Drosophila melanogaster: one gene and its partners. The protein of the gene in region 4 interacts with the protein of the main gene of each other region in a pairwise test. Each region holds a gene or a part of one and is shown on either strand. Other genes may lie near its edges. The genes, in order: Liprin-alpha, Rbp, brp and unc-13.

Region 1 (4,705 bases), on a different chromosome or scaffold from region 4:
ATAATTGCTTGACTTGTAAGATCATGAAAAATTTATCTGCTATTCAATTGGAAATAACTTTACAGTAAGGTAATGAGTAATCAATGGATTTTTTTGAACAAATGGACTGTGCGCTTATCGAAATATAATAAAAAAAAATCGATCCTCATGAATAAAAGTAAAGATATGTATGCCTGCCTTAACCATAAGCTGTAATTTCCTTGGTTTTACCCACCTTGAGCTGCGCCTCTTTATGCCGTAGTTCCTGCTCGAGTTTCTCGTTGAGATCATGCAACGATGTAGACTCCCTCTGAGCATTCAGGTATCGCTTTTCCAATGTGGTAATGCGCTCCTCCTAAAAATGAACGTATAAGTAAAAAACTGAAACCATGCTGTGAGTATTATTCACTCACCTGATCCTCTTTCTGGGCAACATTCTCGCGCAGATCCCGCTGCAGCTTGGCACACTGGTCTTGGGCCTTGCAGTGTTCCTTTTGCACTCGCGACATGTTCTCCTCAAGCTCACTAATCTTGTTGTTCAAATCAGAAACGCGTCGCTGCCATTGTGAAAGTTCCGAGGTCTGACAAGGAAAGAGCGTTTTAAAAAGTGTTCACCATATGCAGACTGGAAACAGATCCGCAATCTTCACCTGCTTCTCAATAATGGTTTGCAGCTCGTGGGTTTTGGCTGCGTAGTCGTTCAGCTCATTTGCCTCGCCATTAACGCCACCAGATCCGCCCACGCCCGCCATCTAGGGTATTGGAAAATAGAAGAGATATATTAAACCGGACATGCTTGACTGCATTTCGAATGTGGAACGCACCTTCTCTTTGAGCCCGTTCTCGGCGCCCCCACCACCGGCGGTGGTTGCGGCACTCCCTGCTCCGCTGCCACTGCCCACGCCAGCTGGCACCACGCCCGCCTTGTACTGGGCCAGTTCCTCCTTGGCAGAGCTGAGTTCCTCTTCCATCATGTTGTTCTTCTCGATGGAAAGCCGCAACCGCTCGCGCACCTTCTCGTCCAGCGCCTTGTGGTGCTCGAACAGCGACTTTAGCGCCTTGAGCACTTCCACCTCGCTGGAGACGCCGCTCTGGGCGGCAGCCTGTCGCTTCACAACGGTCATACGCAGGGAACGCTCGTGGCGGGACACCAAGCACTCCAGATGTTCGAGGAGAAGCTGAAATAGTCAAGTTAGATCATTAAAAATATATTATTTCACGCAGTAACCGACGTTTAAATTGTCTCTTTAAAAGTAAAATTACCGTAGAAATTTAATTAAAACTGATTTTCTTGATATTCAATGAAGCGGAAAGGACTTATAAATACAGTTTACTTCACTTTTTATGGTTTAAGACGGATGTGAATACAAAGAACTAATTCTTAAAAGGCTGTAACAATGTTTGTATAGTCACTGATAAGTAAACAAATAGACAAGCCATGTTCGAAATAAAAATGAAGACGGACAGAGTAAACTTTTGTATTGTTCCCGGTATATGTGACTAATTCGCAAAAGCAAGTACCTACAACTGTTTCTTGTTTGAATAACAATGGGATATGTAATTTAGCAATGGCTATAATACCTAAATTAATAAATTAGTCTAGCAAATCTTGTCATGATCTACCTGATCTAACCATTACTCAATTGTCTCAGTAATTGAAATACCAAGGATCTAAATTTTCGAAAATCACTTACCCTGGTATTATTCCTCTCCGCCTTGAGCTCCCCAATCTCCTCGTCACGTTCCAAAAGGGTCTCCCGCGCTTGCGTCAGCTCCTTGGTCAGGGTGGCAAACTCCTAGAAAGATCAGGAAAAGATTTTAGGTAAACTGCGGTATCAGCATGCAGAGGCCACTTACTTGCGGCAGATTAGCGTTAATCTGTCGCTGCAGGCTGTCCCGCTCCTTCTCGACGTCACGCAGCTTGTTCTCCGTCTCGTTAAGCCGCTCCTGCGCCTCCCTCAGGCTGTCCATCAGCTTGTCCCGCTCGTCCAGCATGGAGACCATCAGCTGCTCAAAGTTGGCATCCTCCCCGCTAAACTGCGAGGAGCGCTGCGAGATGCTATCCTCGGATATCGTGGGCATTACGTCGCACATCATGTTCCACATTATTTAGTTGGGGCCGCCAGACTGTGCGAGACAGAGAGGGGAATAAAGGTTACAGGATTTTGGCTGTAGGTACATTTTGTGCGGAGATTGTACCACTATCGCTGTTACCGAAGCACAAAAACTAGACGCGTTTTTCTAAAGTTTCTTGAATTTGATCCTTGATCATAAATGAATTGGCGTGATTGAATTTTTGTCTGTGATTCCGCATATGGGAGATACTTAATGCTGTAGCTTCTTCTGCATAAAATCAAATTCTTTATGTTAATTGAATTTATAAAGTAAATTCAATTAATTCATACAAAATGTCCATTCTATGGAGTCCGGATATTTTACTACACACACACACGTTCGCTAGCCATTCCAATTGAAATACCCAGCATAGTGGGAGAAACATGTCTAATGAGACTTATCATAGGCGCCGCATTGATAACAAGTTTTCTACACCAACACATACGCACACTGTCGCAGGCGGGGGCACACGCACGGCATACACACTCACACGCGCACGCACACAGGCACAGTACTTTTTCTCTTTCGCATAACTGGCATATTTTGTGTGCCTAGGTGTGTCGCTGTCGCATTTTGCAATCACATATACCCGAAACAGGGTTAAACGAGCAGCAGGTGCGAGCTTACGCCGCTTTTAAATGCGTTCCAATGAGTTTTTCACCTGAAATTTCGGTTTAGTGGGACGGCGTTCGTGTGAAAAAAAAGAGGCTGCGAGAAAATCGCCTCGTACTCCTCGTTACGCCGGAACACGTACCCCGATCGATCGCACGGCGGCTGGGCAGCAGCAGCAACAACAACTCTGGCCGCTTTTTGCCCTTCGCATAGGTGTCCCGGCTGCTTTTAATTAAATAAACCGAATTCCAAATGGATTTTTTAACGATGAGAAACTGGTCAGTGTTACCAGATGGCAAAACGGCTAAAATCCGTAAACCAACCCTGGTTCTTCACTACAAAATGTACTACATTTCATGAATTTTTTCAGTGGTTCTATTTCGTCCAAAAAATATAGAAGTAAAATGTGTTGTTTTAAAGTTTTTGTGGCAGTCTATTTATGTTCAAAGCTAAATTATATGCAAATATTATTGCCGATCAGGAGTTGCCATTTGACCTATCGTCAAGTATTAGAAAAATGTGTACTAAAACTAATGCTGCCACACCGCACAAAGAAAACCATATCTAACAAATATTCAAACTACATGTAGGCGCACAACTAGACAGTCAAAAAAACTTATCACTTTTATCTGAAATTATTTTGTAACTTCCGTCATTTAAATGCAATGCTTCAACAGCTACACATGTTTTTGAAAAAATTACATTGTTATGGTGCCTTACAGACAAACATATTTAGTATTTATTTATCTTAATTAATTTGCAATTCGCTTTACAGCGATTAAATTATTCGATAAGAATCATTGCTCTTATACGAGCTCATGTGTTATCGATGCTTGGAAGCTAATAAATAAATCATCGATGGTGTTGAGCCAGTAAAAACATCGATAGCACCATACAAACATCGATTTTGGTTCCAGCTCTAGACATTTGTGTTTTATTTTTTTTAACCGTGAAATTCATAAGTAAAACCGACTAGCATTGGTATAAACTGCTGCGGAAGCACTCAGTCAGCGCCAAAGAACGAATACAATGGGGTAAGACCGATGGGCGCGGCCAAACCGGCCTAAACCTGCCGTTTTTACTGTGGGAAAAATCGACGCCGAACTAGCTGACATCTCCCCCCTATGATGTTGTTGTTGTTGCTGCCGTTCTGTGTGTAGCGGGCGGCGTAAATACATACATATATATGTACACAAACATACACCTACACACGCACACGCGTGGGCAGGCCAATTACATGTGTGTGGGTGTGCAGGTGTGTGTGACTGTGCAGGTGTGTGCGTGCGTGTTTTCCGCCCGAGAATCAAAAATCACAAGCAAGGCTGCGGAAAAGGCTTAGCACATAATGCAATTTAGTCGGCGGTCGACAGTCGCCAGCGATAACGGGAAGACACAAGTTATAGAGCTCAGCGAACGATGTCGGCGGATAGGTAATAGATAAGATATATATATGTATATGTGTACAAATAAAGGCACTGGAGGCTACCACGGATACGGAATTGATTTGATGGGGGCCCTGCGCCCCGCAACAAACTGTCATTGCATCAGGCCAGATCGCAAAAAACAAACATATATCGACCTACTTTATCAAATAAGGACCACGAGGATTATCCTGGGACTTAAGGACTACTAATTATAAATGCATTACACAGTGCCTGTTGACTAATAAACCACAGTAAAAGAATGCTTTGCCATAGTTTACTCACACGAGCACAGAAGCACAATTTATTGCCTGCTCTAAATGGAATTTTTAATTAATCACACGCTTGTCGCTTTAATCCCTTTATGACCCTTAGCGAACAACCGATTTTCACCTGCCAGGCGCACGTCTTCCACATCGATCCGAAGACGAAGCGCACCTGGATCACGGCCAGCATGAAGGCGGTCAACGTTAGCTTCTTCTACGACAGCTCGCGAAATCTGTACCGCATCATCAGTGTCGAGGGCACCAAGGCGGTGATAAACTCGACGATCACACCCAACATGACCTTCACCCAGA
Region 2 (4,771 bases), on a different chromosome or scaffold from region 4:
GCTCGTTTATACCTGGCGTAACGGGCAAGCAGGCTGTGGAGCAGCGTAAGAAGGAGTTCGTCAAATATTCCAAGAAGTTCAGCACAACGCTGAAGGAGTACTTCAAAGAAGGACAGTAAGTATTAAGAATCACCTGCAGTGATTATTTACTATATGTGTTATCAAACGATACGCTGCGACGCCATGACAGCCGGTTTCTTTAAATCGGCTCATATCTGGTTTCTTATCGTTTCGGGCCAACCGTTGAGATGATGTCATTCCATTGGCATTCCGGGTATTGTTTGGTTTATCATTTTGCGCCGGAGATTCTGAGGGGCGGATATTAAGCCGGACCCCCGCCCATTTTAAATTGTAAATTGCTTCGATTACGTACTAATGGCTATTACCGCTGACCTTTTCATGAAATTGGGGCCAAATTGCATTACTAATTCAAATTGCTTCAGCAAGGATTTTCTAACCGATTCTCTTTTATTTTATCTATTTTCAGACCGAATGCAGTATTCATAAGTGCACTTTTTCTAATACGGCAAACGAATCAAATAATGCTGACAGTTAAGAGTAAATGCGAGTAGAGAATTAAATCCTTTAATTATGGCAAATTAATTAATTAGTGGCATTTTAATTTTATGTTTAAATAACCATTTAACATACCAAGACCGAAACAAATCAAATAAACTCAACACACTTAAATACAAAATCGCCCGACGCAGTCCAAGTTAAATGTTTGAACGTAAATGAAAATCTGTTGTAACTAAATAAATAGGCCTAATTTATATCGTATATACATATGTATTACACATACTCGGACACAAAATTTTGCGAAGCCTAAGCATTGTAATTAACTAGTGAGCAACTATTTATGGAGACGGACGATGTGTGCGAGAGTTTATTTTTCGTTTACAATTTATTGTAAATAATTCATTCTTTTTCTGTTAACAAACAACATCGGCTAGTTTGTTTTTGTTTAGGAGAAGCGCCTACGAATAAATTTAAAATTAGTGGAAAAAAAACGAGAAACAGGAAATGTATGTACTACGGGGAGATGACAAACAAAAACATTAACGGAACACTTAAATTTTTAACTGTTTTTAATTGTTAGAGTTTGAAATTTAAACACTATACATAATAATCTTTTACTTAATGATATGTTCTATTTGAAAACTGCGAAAGCGAAAGACATTAGTGGCCGACAGCACTATCAACAGGATGGAGAAAAAATTATTTTAATTAATAAAATGTTATATGAAAATCGAACACTAAGCAAAAGTAAAAGAACGGCAACAAACTCATAATGTAGACATAGCGAAAAGAAAACGACAAATAAATGTATTTATATTCCAAAATTGAAAAGAGTGTTTCATATTTAACCAATTTACGTAAAATTACTTTATAATTTATAGTATTAGGTGTGGTATGATGTGGAAATAATTGTTTTATATTACCCGAGAATTGATTTCGAAAATCAGAGATTGGTAAACTGAAATCAAAATCTCAGATTTACACGCACATGTCGTTAACAGAGGACAGCGCTGTTAACGGATAACAGCCAAAAGTAATAGTAAACCCCCAATAACAGGCCCTGAGCAGAAATTTACCCAGTTGCAACCCCAAAGGAGTCCTTCTGAGAGCGGGAGAGAATTGCCCGTTTTTCAGTGTCATTTGGCAGAAAAATCGATTCCCCGCACACTGAATAGTGGGCACTGGGTACTGAGTGCTCGGCTCTGGGTTCTCTGGGCCACTCTGCTCTGGCACACTGAGCACCGAGCTGGCAGTTGGGTAGAAATCAGAGTGCGCCAGCAGCGCGACCGAGATGACCCACTTTTCGGTATTCGCACTGAGACCCAACTGCTACTACCCACAGAAAGTGGACAACTAGGCGGAGTTTTTTTCTATATAGTAGCAGTGAAACGATCGCGTTTTTCGGATATATTATGTACAGCCTACGTAGCCTAGTGTAAACTATATGCATTTATGTGAATTTCCCAGCGCAAACGTGGAAGAGGAAAACAGGCGACCTGAAAAAGCAGCAGCAGCAGCAAGCAAGAAGCAGAAGCACAAGCAGCAAAAAAGGTTCGCAACCCGTTCAAAAGCCCCCGAATACAAAATATTACAAAAAGTTAACCCAAAAAGAAAGGATAAAATCCTGTGCTTCCGAAAACGAAAACCGCAGTTTAAGCAAAAAGTGTCAAAATCGCGTGGTAAATACTTATTTTGCGCAAGCTGAAAAAAAGAGCTGTTATGCGAGCGAGCGAGCTCACGAAAAATTTCGCTGTACACCAAATGTTTGCCCAACAGCACCGCTGCTGCGTGAAAATTTCATTTTCTCGCCAATAACGTGAAAAAGCTCGCCGCGAGTGCAGTTAAAAAATCCAGTGAAAGATATAATGATTCCGGGAAAATGGTGGGACAGTGAAAAGTAAAAGTGTAAGCATATCGATAAAGGCAAAAAAAAAAAAAAAATACGAAAAAGAGCAGCCAGCGTAAAACTACACTCTCCCACACACACTCACATGCATACATATATCCAAACATATACATATACATACTCGCCCACATGCTGATGCATATACAATATGCAAATGCGGGTAATCACTGTAAAACCGAGGCAGGCGAAATGGTGAATGAAACCGAAATTATAGAAAAATGCCTAAATAAAATCGGAGAAATTGGCTAAAAGCAGAGTTCAGCTACATTTTGGCACAAAAAAGCGCGCACCCACACACACTCACGCATACACCCGCCACACACATACAGAGAAAGCGAAAAGAGCGAGAGGCATGTAAGTAAAGTAGATGTAAATGGCCAACGAAACTGGAGCAGCACCAATACCACTGCAAGTGCCACAACGGCAGGAGCAGCATGTGTGTGTGAGCGTTTCATATTCATAAGCTTCCAGCAGCACCAGCAGCAGCAGCAGCAGAAAAGTCCCACTTTTTGGGTTCGCACTCTGGGGGCGGTTTTCACTTCACACTTGTCCCACAGCCTGCGCAACAACAATGTTAAAGTTGTTTGCTGCTGCGTGCGTAACACACATACTACATACAGTGTACACCCACCACACACGTTCGTGTGTATGTACGTATGCATGTACATATGCATACATATATATGTACACTAAAGGTATCTACAGCGTGCATGCGGTTACCGTTACCTTCTCTGGAGCGGTGTTTTAATACCCGTAACAGCACTTTCCACCGATTGAATGCTTTCACGTATTTCGTATATATTTATAGCCCACTGTACTCAGTTTCCACTGCAATGATCGAAAGTCACGCGTCGATGGCCTGGTACACGTTGCGGATACTTAATACAACATTATCACAACCTAGACGGGCTTATTATGAAAAGAAAGTCTTCATAGCTTCCTTCTATAAATATGTAGTTTTTTCTGTAGATGAATTAAAACATAATTGGCCAAATTTAAATTAACATGTTGCATATGTATTTAATACATGAAGAACTCAAATGTGCAACTATTCAATTGAATTTTCCTTTAAGCCAACAGAAAGATCCCCCGTGTTGAAAAATATAAAGAACGGCTTGAAAAGAAAAGCCATTATGATTTTATTGGATTTTTCCGAGCAGGATTAATCGTTGAGTTTGGCCAATTTTGACAGATGGCAATCATTCAATAATTTATATGCTGGGCTGCCAGCCAAACTGCGACCATGAGATGTCCACAGGCGGGGATCCCCCTGCTTCTCTCCGAACCACTTCCCATTTCCCGGTTTGGCGGTTTGGTTTTCCACCCCATAACTGTGCTATGGTTTTTTTCTATAGTATTTCAGCGCCAGAAGCGACGAAATTCGTGGGTCTGTGTGTGTGCCTGTGTGTGAGCAGCTTGTTATAAATAGGCAAGATAGTTTTTGTGCTCGTGTTCTGGTTCGCTTTTTTCCTTGGCTCTGCGATTGAGGTCATGCCAGCAGCAGGATAATGAACTTTTCCCAACATCTTAAATGTAATTGTAATTGTAATTGCTCGACTTTAAAAAGTTTCTGCTCGCAGTGTTATTTTTAGGACTTGCCACTCGTCATATTCTCGAGCACATTGTCGACTATTTATGCATGTAATTGTTGGCAATGGCTGTTGGCCCCTGCCTTCGTCGGCTATAATTGCTGCAATTAGAAGCACTTGATTGTTATGGCCCAAGTGTGTGAGCATTCAATTAATTGAACGACAGCTCATTAGGGCATCGAAGAGCAGACAATGGTGCTTTAAAACTTTCACCGACCTTTGCTGGAGAATATGTAAATATTAGCTTGGTATGGCCAACTTTTTGCATTTTTCGTGAGTTTGCCAAGGCAACCGATTCCGGATGCTAATTAATTGCCTTTCTTTGCAAACTTGTCTGTCAACACACAAGGTGGAAATTGCCATTTTGCAGTTGCAACTTTTGTTCTCCCGCTTTTTTTTCTTGGTTTTCTGGGCACTTCATTTCAAAGTAAATCAAAGTTGCTGCGCGCCAAAAACCAAAAACGCAACAAAGTTTTTAAATTAGTTTGTCGAAGTTTGGGGCCAACAAAGTTGGCAGGAATATTTCGTTTCATTTCTTTGTGGCGTTTTTTTCCAACCACGAATAGTCAACGAATATTGTTTTAATTACGACTTTTTGTATATTTCACTAGACAGTCGCCTTGCAGTTGTAAATGATATTACGCATACGGCACGTTGTGCGGAAATAAAGATACTGTGCTGGCAGAGGTTACCTTCCCAATTCCCTGCTTTCTCCCTGTTAGATAACGTGCCTCAGTTCCGAGTGAATGGGAATTTT
Region 3 (4,812 bases), on a different chromosome or scaffold from region 4:
AGAATGGGGACATAAAAAGATGGAGGAAGCGCAGCAGATGAGGTCAGGATATGGCAGACAGGCCATAAAATATCAGGCCCAGATTCGATTACATCGCCATGCCATTAGGGAGCCCCAGGCAGTGCACTTTGCTGGGCAAACATATCCAGATATATACTGCCATACTGCCAGATGTATGTAGATGCGGAGAGCGGGAGACGGATTGCACTTCTAGCTGCATACTTGGGGGACCTGGAGCTGAAGCTGAAACTGGAAGCCACTACGATTGTTGTCCGTCCGGAGGCCATCTTATCAGGCTATCTGCTCCGGGGGCCTCCACCCCAAAACAAACATGTTGAATAGCTTCCGAAAAAACGAGAGGCGTCCCCGGAGAAAGCCGGAGAGAGAACTCACCACACTGGGAGGCTAGTGCGCAAATGCGTGCCATCTCACCAGCGCACTTCCCTTTCTCCTCTCGCCTTTCTCCGTTCCTCTGGCTGCTTTCTCCATTCGCTCCCGCTCACAACAATAGCGTCATCGTAAAATATTTGCCGTATTTTGTTGTTACCACTGCCCCAATATATGGATTGGCGGCGTTTTCTTCGCCCGCACACACACTGACTCTCACAACAGACACACACAGACACTGACTCAGACCACATGTAAAATAAGGTTGAAATTTGAAATCAATAAAAGTTATTCGGCTGATCTAAAATTAGAGCAAGCAACTCAAATAACAGCCGAAAGAAGTAAATAATAAAGGCAAACACCGCATCATTGACACGCAAAGGAGGTGATTGGGCCGGCCCCCAAAAAAGCTGAACAAAAAACTGACAAATCATGCGAGCAAATCGAATGCGTCGAGCCTGCCCCACAAGGCACCATCCACATATCTAATTATAAGTTTTCAAATTGCTTGCCAATCTCCGGATGATTGATTGATTGAACGGGGCGTATGGGTAATGCATGGAGAACAGACTAAAATTACTCGCTAAACTAAGTTACTCGACTACGTTCTAGGACTGCAACTAGGTCTAGATAATCGGGGATCGTATTTTATATTCAGCTGGACATATTCATCGGTAAAATCACAAGAAAGAAATCACAACAGATACGTACAGGAGATAAAGAAGTTACACAGAGAGAACAAAGGCAGGCACAAAAACAGATTACTTATAACTGATTACGATTAAATTATGGCGGCTCCTGTTACACAAGGCATACGCACAAATCAGAAATCAATATCGCTTATGGTTCACATCACAAATTGAAGTTTTTGCCGTGTTTCTTTGGTTGTGTGTGCGTTTATGTGTGTGTATCTCAGTGTCAGTGTGGGTGTCGTTACGTATACGTAATACGGTTAAATAGCTCACCCGCTTTGCTTAGGCGATGAATTTTGAATGATTTTCCTTAACGAACTGCGGGCGAATGAAAAACTGGCTAAGCTAGCTGCTGCTCCTGCTACTGCACCTCCTCGTTCGTTTAATCCTCTTGCTCCTGCTCCTGCTCCTGCTGCTGCTCCTCGACTTCCGCTTCCGGTTTTCAGAGCCCGCACACACTGACGCACTCGCGCTGCAACTACATGTGTGTGTGGGCGATTTGTTGCTCGTCTTTATGGCCGTTGCCAATGCAATGGTGCTGGTGACTGCGATTGTGATTGTGTTTGTGGTTGTTGTCAGGCGGCTCAATGGGCATTTCCGGTTCCGGTCGGCTAGCTGCTTGCACTAATTTAGTTGATGACACTGGCTTAGTTAGTTTGTTGACTTTCGTGGCGTGCGCTCGCTGGCTAATTGCATTTTGTGTTTATGATTTAAACGGCTTTTGTTTTATGTACATGGCTGTGTGGGAGGATAATTAAACCGCGTGAGTTTCCAGCTAAACTAATTAAAGTCTTCATTCACTGAGTGGGTTTTTTTGTGTTTCATTTATTTTTCCAAGTGGTTTGGTGGCTTCGTGCCCAACGAGGATATTTTTTACACTCGTTCCCGCTGACACACATTCGAGCCCAACACACACACACACACACACACACAGGCACAGCAAACACAGCGATACGGAGAGATAGGGAGTTGAAGAGTGCTCCGCAAAATGGAGTGGAGAGTGTTCTACGCACGAGTTACGCTCACGAACAACGTAAGGTTCGACGTAACGAAAGGGGATTGTGGGGGGAGTGGCGTGTGGCGAGGGGCGAGGGGCGGTGGAGCTGAGCGGGTGGTTTGGGTGGCTCAACATTATGCTGGCACCCCACCTTCCGTCACTTCATTCGCTCGGCTCTAGGCTCTGTTATACAGCTTATAGCTTTTCAAACTTAATGTCTCTTTGTAGGCGTATGCGTATGTGTGTGTGTGTGTGTGTGAGTGCGGTTTTGTGGGTGTGCGAATGCGAGTGTGTGTGTATAACTCGCATGGCTTATATGTAGGTTGAAGCAATTTATAATAATTTTTTTTTGCTTTCGCCCCAATCGATAGGCAGCGTTTAGTGGGACAGATGACTCCTTTTGATTGACAGTGTGTGTTTGTACGTTGGTCTTTCACACTGATATACTATACACAAATGCACATTTGTATATATATATACGTATAAAGGGTGTGTGTGAAATGGTTCCTTGAGTTTGTCACACGATTTTGAGCGCTATAGGCGGCTTTTTGGCCAGCTCGATTTGCTTTTAACTCGCTTTTTTCGCACTTTTTGCAGGAAATCACTTTTCTGTATCCAGGGAGCAGCCTCTAGCGCTAGTGCTGCCATTCACGCACACTCACTCACTCGCACACATACACACACACTAACGGGGACTTTATGCATTTGATCGAAGCACTTTTCGCCAGTCAATGGAATTTTCTCGCGCTATTCTTTCACTTTTCTCCGCTGCGAATGCAATTAAGTTGGACTTTTCTTGGCCTTATACATTTCTCGGCCAGATACATATACTGCGCGTGTGTGTATGTGTGTGTGCATGCGGGAGTGTATTGGTATTCGTGTCTATGTGTGTTCCTAACCCAAAAATGTATTGTGCGGCAGCTGAGGTGGCCCGTTTTCGGCAACGCCGTTGTCCAACTAACTACCCTCAAAGAACTGAGCACGGCTCGTGCAAGCCAGTTGCTAATATAGTCGCCGATTCGCTGGCAAGTGGTGAGTTTTCCAACTTTTCCTTACCGACCACCCTCTGCTTTCCTCCTGGCCTAGGCATAGGGAGAGCTAGCCGGAGAGCGCGCGATTGCAATCAATGAATTTTCCTTTCGGCGCTCGCGCAGTTCAGTGAGTGCTGGCATCTCGAGCTGCCAGCTTAATGGATTCCGGAATTCCAATACCAAAATATGGAGCCAGCGCATTGCGTTACGCTAAACGAATGTGGGTCTTACGTATTGCTCCACATTCAGCGTTGGCAATGCTGCGCGCCAACTATTCAAACCGCCCTCAAAATTAGACTATGAACTCGTTGGTTTTAGGAACAGTTTTCTATAAGAACAGATTATAGATTCTTAAAGATTTGGATTTCATTATTTTGGAAACTATTTTTAAGGAATAAGAAATCTGAAACAGCAGACTGAATGTATCAGCTCACCTAGATTAGCTTTTTTGCAGAAGGTTCTTTTCTAAGAAAACTTAAATACTTATTTGAATTATACGAACTTAATAATAAGACAGTATTCGTTGGGGATGTTAACTTGTTACGTTTATTCTGGAATGTGTCTGTATGGTGGCGCGGTGCGTATCTGCGGTTGTAATACATTTCTCATAATACTTAATCAACGCATTTCCTATGACATAGCCCTAGTTCTAGCGATATGCTCCCGCTACCCGTCTATTTACAGGTGAACTCCTCGTAGCTCTCGTCGCACTCGTCACACTTGACCTCGCAGCACCAGCGGAATTGGCAGCGGCACTGCGTGGTCCTTCGAATGTGCTGCGTGTTGTGGCCACGCCCACAGCAGAGCAGATCGCAGCTCTGGGGGCCGTGGCCGGTCCGCTGGCAGGTCCGACCTGAGGTGCCCTGGCTGCCCGTCTGCAGACTTCGCTCGCAGTAGTTGGGCGACGCCTCCAGGTAGATCAGCTCCATGCGCTTCGGCCAATCGAGGACCGGTTTCTGGGCACGAGCGGTGCCGGCATGCTTCTTTCTGCAAGAAATTAAAAGTGGAAAGAGGTATGTGTTAATATGTGGGATCGAAAATGTGTTGATATTATACCGTGCTACAGAAGGCACAGCAAACATATTGCATTTAAAAAGGACTTAATGACTACTATGTGTTTTATTCTTTTTAGAAGAATACTTATTTAGCCATTAGATTATTGCCTACATATCATGCAACATCTTGCAAGATTCCCATTTCTCACCTGCTTAATACTAATCTCAGTCCACGTTTGCCTTTGACGGCTTGAACAGTTTTGGCTTTTTGATACTTCAGCATGAGTCTATCGCCAACCAGTCGAAAGGGCGGCAGGCTCTTCCAGCAGGTCTTCATCACGCAGGAGCCACTGACGCCATGGCACTTGCAGTCCGTGCGCAGCATCTTCTTGACCAGCTGATAAGAGAAAAACATAACTATTAACTAGGCCATATTTATTATTAAATTTTATGCATGCGCACCGTTCTCCCTGCTCGGTTATTGTGCAGGTTCATCAGCGTGCGGGAGTCGCGCTCCAATTCGCGGGCATCCATGAATCTGCGCGCATACCGCATCCCAAAGTCCACGTCCGCCGAGCAGCCGCCCCACTTCCAGGGCTCGTCGGGCGTACCGCCGCCAGTGGGCGTGGCTTTGTGCCGCACATCACAGCCGCAGGTGGAGATGTTGCCGCGGGCACAGGCGGCGGTCACCGCGTACGCCGCTCCGGCAC
Region 4 (4,985 bases):
TGATCGCTTAATTGGAACTTAAACTAACTGTTAACAGGTAAGTTAATAGATAAAACTAAGCATATAATTTGTAAAATGGCAAAAACAAAGGAGCTATCAGTTGGGCATCGAGTCGAGATTGTCACTAAACTTAAGACTGGTTCTTCTGCATCCAAATTAGCTGAGTTGTACAAAATATCACGTAAAACTGTGTACAATTTAGTTAAAAAAAAGGACACTGGGAAATTTGGAAAATTAAAAGAAACCTGGCCGAAAAGTTGCATTGAACCCAAGACTGCAGACACATTATTGGAGTTGTACTCAGTAATCCCACCATTAGTCCCGTTTTAATTGCCGCAGCTTCGAAAAATTTAATTGGAAAACATATAGTACACTGCGTCGCAGAATGAAGGAAGTTGACATCAACTCCTATGAAAAACGTCTCTCATTTGCCTTGGAGTATAAAGAGAAGCCTATCGAGTTCTGGTTTGATGTTTTATGGACTGATGAAATTGGGTTTCAGTTTCAGAGATCCTTTAGCAAGAAATTTATGCATTTCCCAAAAAAACTAAAGGTTGAATGCCGTCCAGCTAATCAATCGATTTGGTGGTGGCACGGTGATGTTCTGGGGCTGTTTAAGCTACTTTGGATTTGGAGACATGGTACCGATAGAGGGTACAATAAATCAAACAGGATACCTCCATATCTTAAATGAGCACGCATTCACCTCAGGAAATAGACTGTTCTCCACGAAAAAAAAACGCAAAAAACAATTAAAAAAGCTGTATGTAAATAATTTTGACGCGTAAAAATTGTGTGTAAATACTTTTGACAACAGACAAGGATCAGTTCAATGCTTCTATTTTTAAACCCTAAACAGTTATTTTTTCCACTTCTTCTTTCGTTGGGTAAAAAGCTGTTTTGGCTGCCTAACAATTTTTTAACGAAAATGTATTGACGAATTTAAGGAATTTTAAAGTATATACAGCTTTAAGGGTTTTACGAAAAGTGGTATTGTCTGTCAAGCACTTAAACATAAATAAATGCATACTAGGATTGAGCAGACAGACAAAAAAAAAAACAAAATTTTCATATTAACAAATTCGCCAAAAACATAATTTTTCTCCTGAATATAATTTTTTTAAGTATTGGTTGTTTTTTTCGTTGCCTTTCCTTTACTAGTATTTTTATTTCTTTGCTTCGCCAGTACGCTTATCGTCCACCCTGACCTATTGCTAATTGATAACCACCATATATTTTATAAACACAAATCTAACAAATTTAGGATTTTGTAACGGTATAAATAAGACACCGCCGTTTTATCTTAGAAATTTCATATCTGTTTCAATGAATGGCAACATTAACTCAAAACTTTTAAACAATTCATGTAACGACCGCAAATTGATGCTCGATAAATAACGGAAACAGTTCCTCGCATTTCTTGAGCAATGGGCATGTCACAGTCAAAACTTTCGACTAAAGCTTTCAAAATTGTTCTTAAATATTTAATGTTTGTCATTTCCTTTTTAAGGGAATTCCATTGGACTTGATCTTGAGACAATTCTGACATAACGCAATGTATTGCCCCTGAAAATTATTCAAAATTGATTAGGGAGTACGACTAAAGCTTTTAATTTGAATGGTCTTAATTTGACATATTTCGAGGCAACTCTTAACAAAATCGTTCGATGTAATTATTCTGAAAACCTGTTAACCGTTTACGAATTGTAAACGGTTAATAAATGGTCTTAGATGTGACATTATAAAAAAAGGAGTAAGTTCAGTTTATTACAAAAACTTTAAGAGCGTTTGACAGAGAATGGTTAAGGCATGCGCAATAGATAGAAAAATATTCTCTTACATTTTTCCCGTCTTACCCACACTTGACTTTTTTCTGTATACATAAGCTTTTCAATGGTGTACTAAAAACTAAAGTTCTAAGTGTGTAACTGTCATCCGCGCAAAGCTTACTTGCTGGTAGCTTCATGAAAACGGAGCTAGGCGCAACAAAGAATTTACTAAATTGTACTGTGAATTTCAACGTTTTTTTAATTCTTAGCAGAGCACAAATAATTGTTCGTAGTGGTTTCAAACCGTTTACATTAAGAAAGCCAGATAAAAAAGCTTAGGCCTTTTAGTTAAAAATTGCATATACATAATTTTGTGCACAGAAAGACTATAAAACAGTTTTGTTTTTATAAAAAAGAAAAAAAGCTGGAATCGCTCTTAAGCCCAGATACCAAATAATTAATAAACGCATCCATTTTAGGATCCCCTTTACAGTACATACAAGCATAATTGAAAAACCTACCAATATTAAACCACATTTGGTACTAGTTAATTAATTGCACAAGTTTTTTAGTTGAAGTAAATTTCAAACAGACACATGTGTATTTTGTTACAACTAATATAGGTCATATTTAAAAAGCATTTTTATTTACTTTGAGTGTGCTTAGAAGTGAAATTAAGACCGGGTTTTATCTAAATACGTTTTGAAATACACATACATACATAGTACAAGAACCTAATTTTAATAGTTATGTGTATTTTTTTTGTCGTCAACCACTTAACGCTGTTTAGGTACATATGTATATAACAATTCAGTATTACAGACGAAATTGGCTTTTGAAATAAACGTATGTATTCCACACAGAGCATTAAAACACATTTTAAAAACAAAATTATTTAGGTAAAAACAAAACTAATCCATCGAATAAAACCCTAATTAACGGTATGATGAACACATCTCAGCTGCAAGTGACCGGGGATACGGAAAAAAAAAGTCAGTTGCTTAAAAAGGAACTCAAAATAAACACCCAGGAAAAGCTTATCTTTGCAGAAAATGCCCTCAAAAGCCAGATTAAAATAAAGGAGCAGTTACGACTTCAGCAACAATCAACGATTTATGCGTCGTCACTATTGAGCTCTTCTGCTGCCGGATCAGTAAGAGCTCCGCTCTTAAGCCAGGGGCACCTTAATTCTATCCAACACAACATGGATTTTGACCTTGCCAAAGCACAAATACCGGAAATGCAACCACCGATGAGTAAGTCGCCCAATGGATTGGATTTCTCTTACTTAAGTTATCCAAGCATAAATACTAATGAAAGTATGATATCGATTAAAAGTGAACAACAGTTGTGTCAGAGCTACAATTCGGAGCAACACTCTGACTACATTATCTCCGATTATATGGATAAAATTGCAACAAGGATCAGTTTACTCGAGACAGAGCTGAAGTTTGCTTGGCGTGCATTGGATTTGCTTTCTACGGAGTACGGAAAGATTTGGATTCGTTTGGAAAAGCTTGAAAACATATCAATAGAACAACAGTCTGTCGTTGGCAACCTTGTGGATCTTATCGGCGCATCAAAAAAAGAACTTCAAAAAGTGGATATCGAAAGAATGAAAGTACCCTTATATCAAGATGAAGATCAATTGCTACCGTTGGAAATGGAAGACACATTAGATATAGATATCCAATCATCTAATCGTGACTTTGATAAGAATCTTACTTTTGAAAATCATGAAAAAACTTTTGTAACAAAACATACGCAAGCTACTAAATCGGAAGACCTTATGAATTCCGCTTACGCAATAGATTCCCATCCAAATTTTGAAAACATTGATTTCAATGGCAAAAACTTAGACATTGGGATAATAAAATTTGGTTTTGAAAAAGGCTACGAGCCAAAACAAAAAGGTAATCAATCGGATTTTGAAGCATACAAGGAATCAAGAACTAAACTTTACTCAGATTCTGACCTTATGTTATATGAGAGGCAGCAGTTTCTAGCAAATAGCGCGCGTGCCGAATTAATGAAAGAATTTTTAAATGGACGTCGAGTTTTAAATGAGATTTCGGCATCCTCGGGTGCATTGTCAAAAAGTTCTGAGAAGGATAAAAATCTTGTAAAGCCTAGAGAACCACTGTTAAGTGAGATAGATGATACATACGTGAGACGGTCAACCTGTGAACTTGTCAGCCCTAGTAGTAATAATTTTTTTCAAATAGCAGCCTCTAAAACAGGCGAGGGTGGAAATCAGGTTTTACCCATTGAAGACACTGGAGGAACAGAAAGTCCAGCTAATATTAATGAAGTAGACGAATCTTTTTATAAAAATCTAAACGAGGCTTATCGAGACAATGAATTGAGCTCTGAGATATTTAAGGTTGATGCATTGCTACATCAGTCTGAGGCCACACATGACCACATCTCATTTATCCGAAACCAGTCAACTTCTTCCCCAGTTTTAAATAATCAGAGGGTGAATGCTATTACAGGTACACAACCTTTACAGACTGCAAAGGCGTGTCTCGTAACAGAGCCAAACCAACATTTGAACAAAGAACCAAGAAAGCACAGAAAAAAAAAACATCATACAAACGAAATGGATATGATTAATAAACTAAAGTGTATCCTTGCACAAGCACAATCAACAGAGATTATTAAGAGAGACATTGAAGAATTGGGTTCGAAACTTTCAGATGCATGTGTAAAACAAACTGAAACGGAAAATAAATCAGACAACCATATTAGTACCAGTTATTTAAAAGATGATATACGAAAAATGTTAAACAACGTAATACAGACTTTATTGGGGGAAATAAATAAAATTAAAGGGTTACAATCATTGAGTGCAACGCAATTGAGTCAGTTACAAAATGCCGTATGGTCGGAAGAAAGGTTTTTTCAAAAAATTAGTCTGGTCGATAAAAAGTTGACTTTGCTGTTACTTAATCCGTTAACTGTTACTGAAGAACTGCAAAGGCTTTGCATTTCAAACACAAATGAAAAGTTTGTTCTGGTAATAAAAAAGTTAAAAAAAAATATTGACACTCTAAAAAAATTAGTTGGCAGCTCATTGGATGACTTTAAAATAGATAATTCACACGCAAATATGACCACATTTCACAGCCTTAATCCATCCCATAATTCTAATGATAGCAGTTTTAGTGCACATTTATTAAGAAATAACTCCAATCTGGATGAACAGTTGAAAAT

What was found.
Region 1: the proteins of unc-13 (region 4) and Liprin-alpha interact in a two-hybrid assay, tested with the Drosophila melanogaster proteins (one study listed by BioGRID).
Region 2: the proteins of unc-13 (region 4) and Rbp interact in a two-hybrid assay, tested with the Drosophila melanogaster proteins (2 studies listed by BioGRID).
Region 3: the proteins of unc-13 (region 4) and brp interact in a two-hybrid assay, tested with the Drosophila melanogaster proteins (one study listed by BioGRID).

The regions. Positions count from the first base shown.
Region 1 is NT_033779.5:6,722,228-6,726,932, reverse strand, and holds the start of Liprin-alpha (Liprin-alpha), read right to left. Parts: upstream 3,031-4,705; 5' UTR 2,849-3,030; exon of another isoform or gene 2,756-2,848; 5' UTR 2,540-2,755; intron 2,107-2,539; 5' UTR 2,086-2,106; coding exon 1,837-2,085; intron 1,776-1,836; coding exon 1,674-1,775; intron 1,158-1,673; coding exon 804-1,157; intron 732-803; coding exon 630-731; intron 561-629; coding exon 393-560; intron 335-392; coding exon 215-334; intron 1-214. Other genes in the region: homer, read left to right, coding at 4,123-4,136, 4,503-4,705.
Region 2 is NT_033777.3:15,372,899-15,377,669, forward strand, and holds the start of Rbp (RIM-binding protein), read left to right. Parts: upstream 1-1,736; 5' UTR 1,737-1,963; coding exon 1,964-2,070; exon of another isoform or gene 2,071-2,779; intron 2,780-4,771. Other genes in the region: Ccm3 (cerebral cavernous malformation 3), read left to right, coding at 1-115, 488-572.
Region 3 is NT_033778.4:9,502,009-9,506,820, reverse strand, and holds the start of brp (bruchpilot), read right to left. Parts: upstream 3,057-4,812; 5' UTR 2,976-3,056; intron 1,818-2,975; 5' UTR 1,353-1,817; intron 1-1,352. Other genes in the region: Wnt2 (Wnt oncogene analog 2), read right to left, coding at 3,782-4,094, 4,312-4,499, 4,565-4,812.
Region 4 is NC_004353.4:890,524-895,508, reverse strand, and holds the start of unc-13 (unc-13), read left to right. Parts: upstream 1-1,943; 5' UTR 1,944-2,004; intron 2,005-2,559; 5' UTR 2,560-2,615; intron 2,616-2,668; 5' UTR 2,669-2,712; coding exon 2,713-4,985.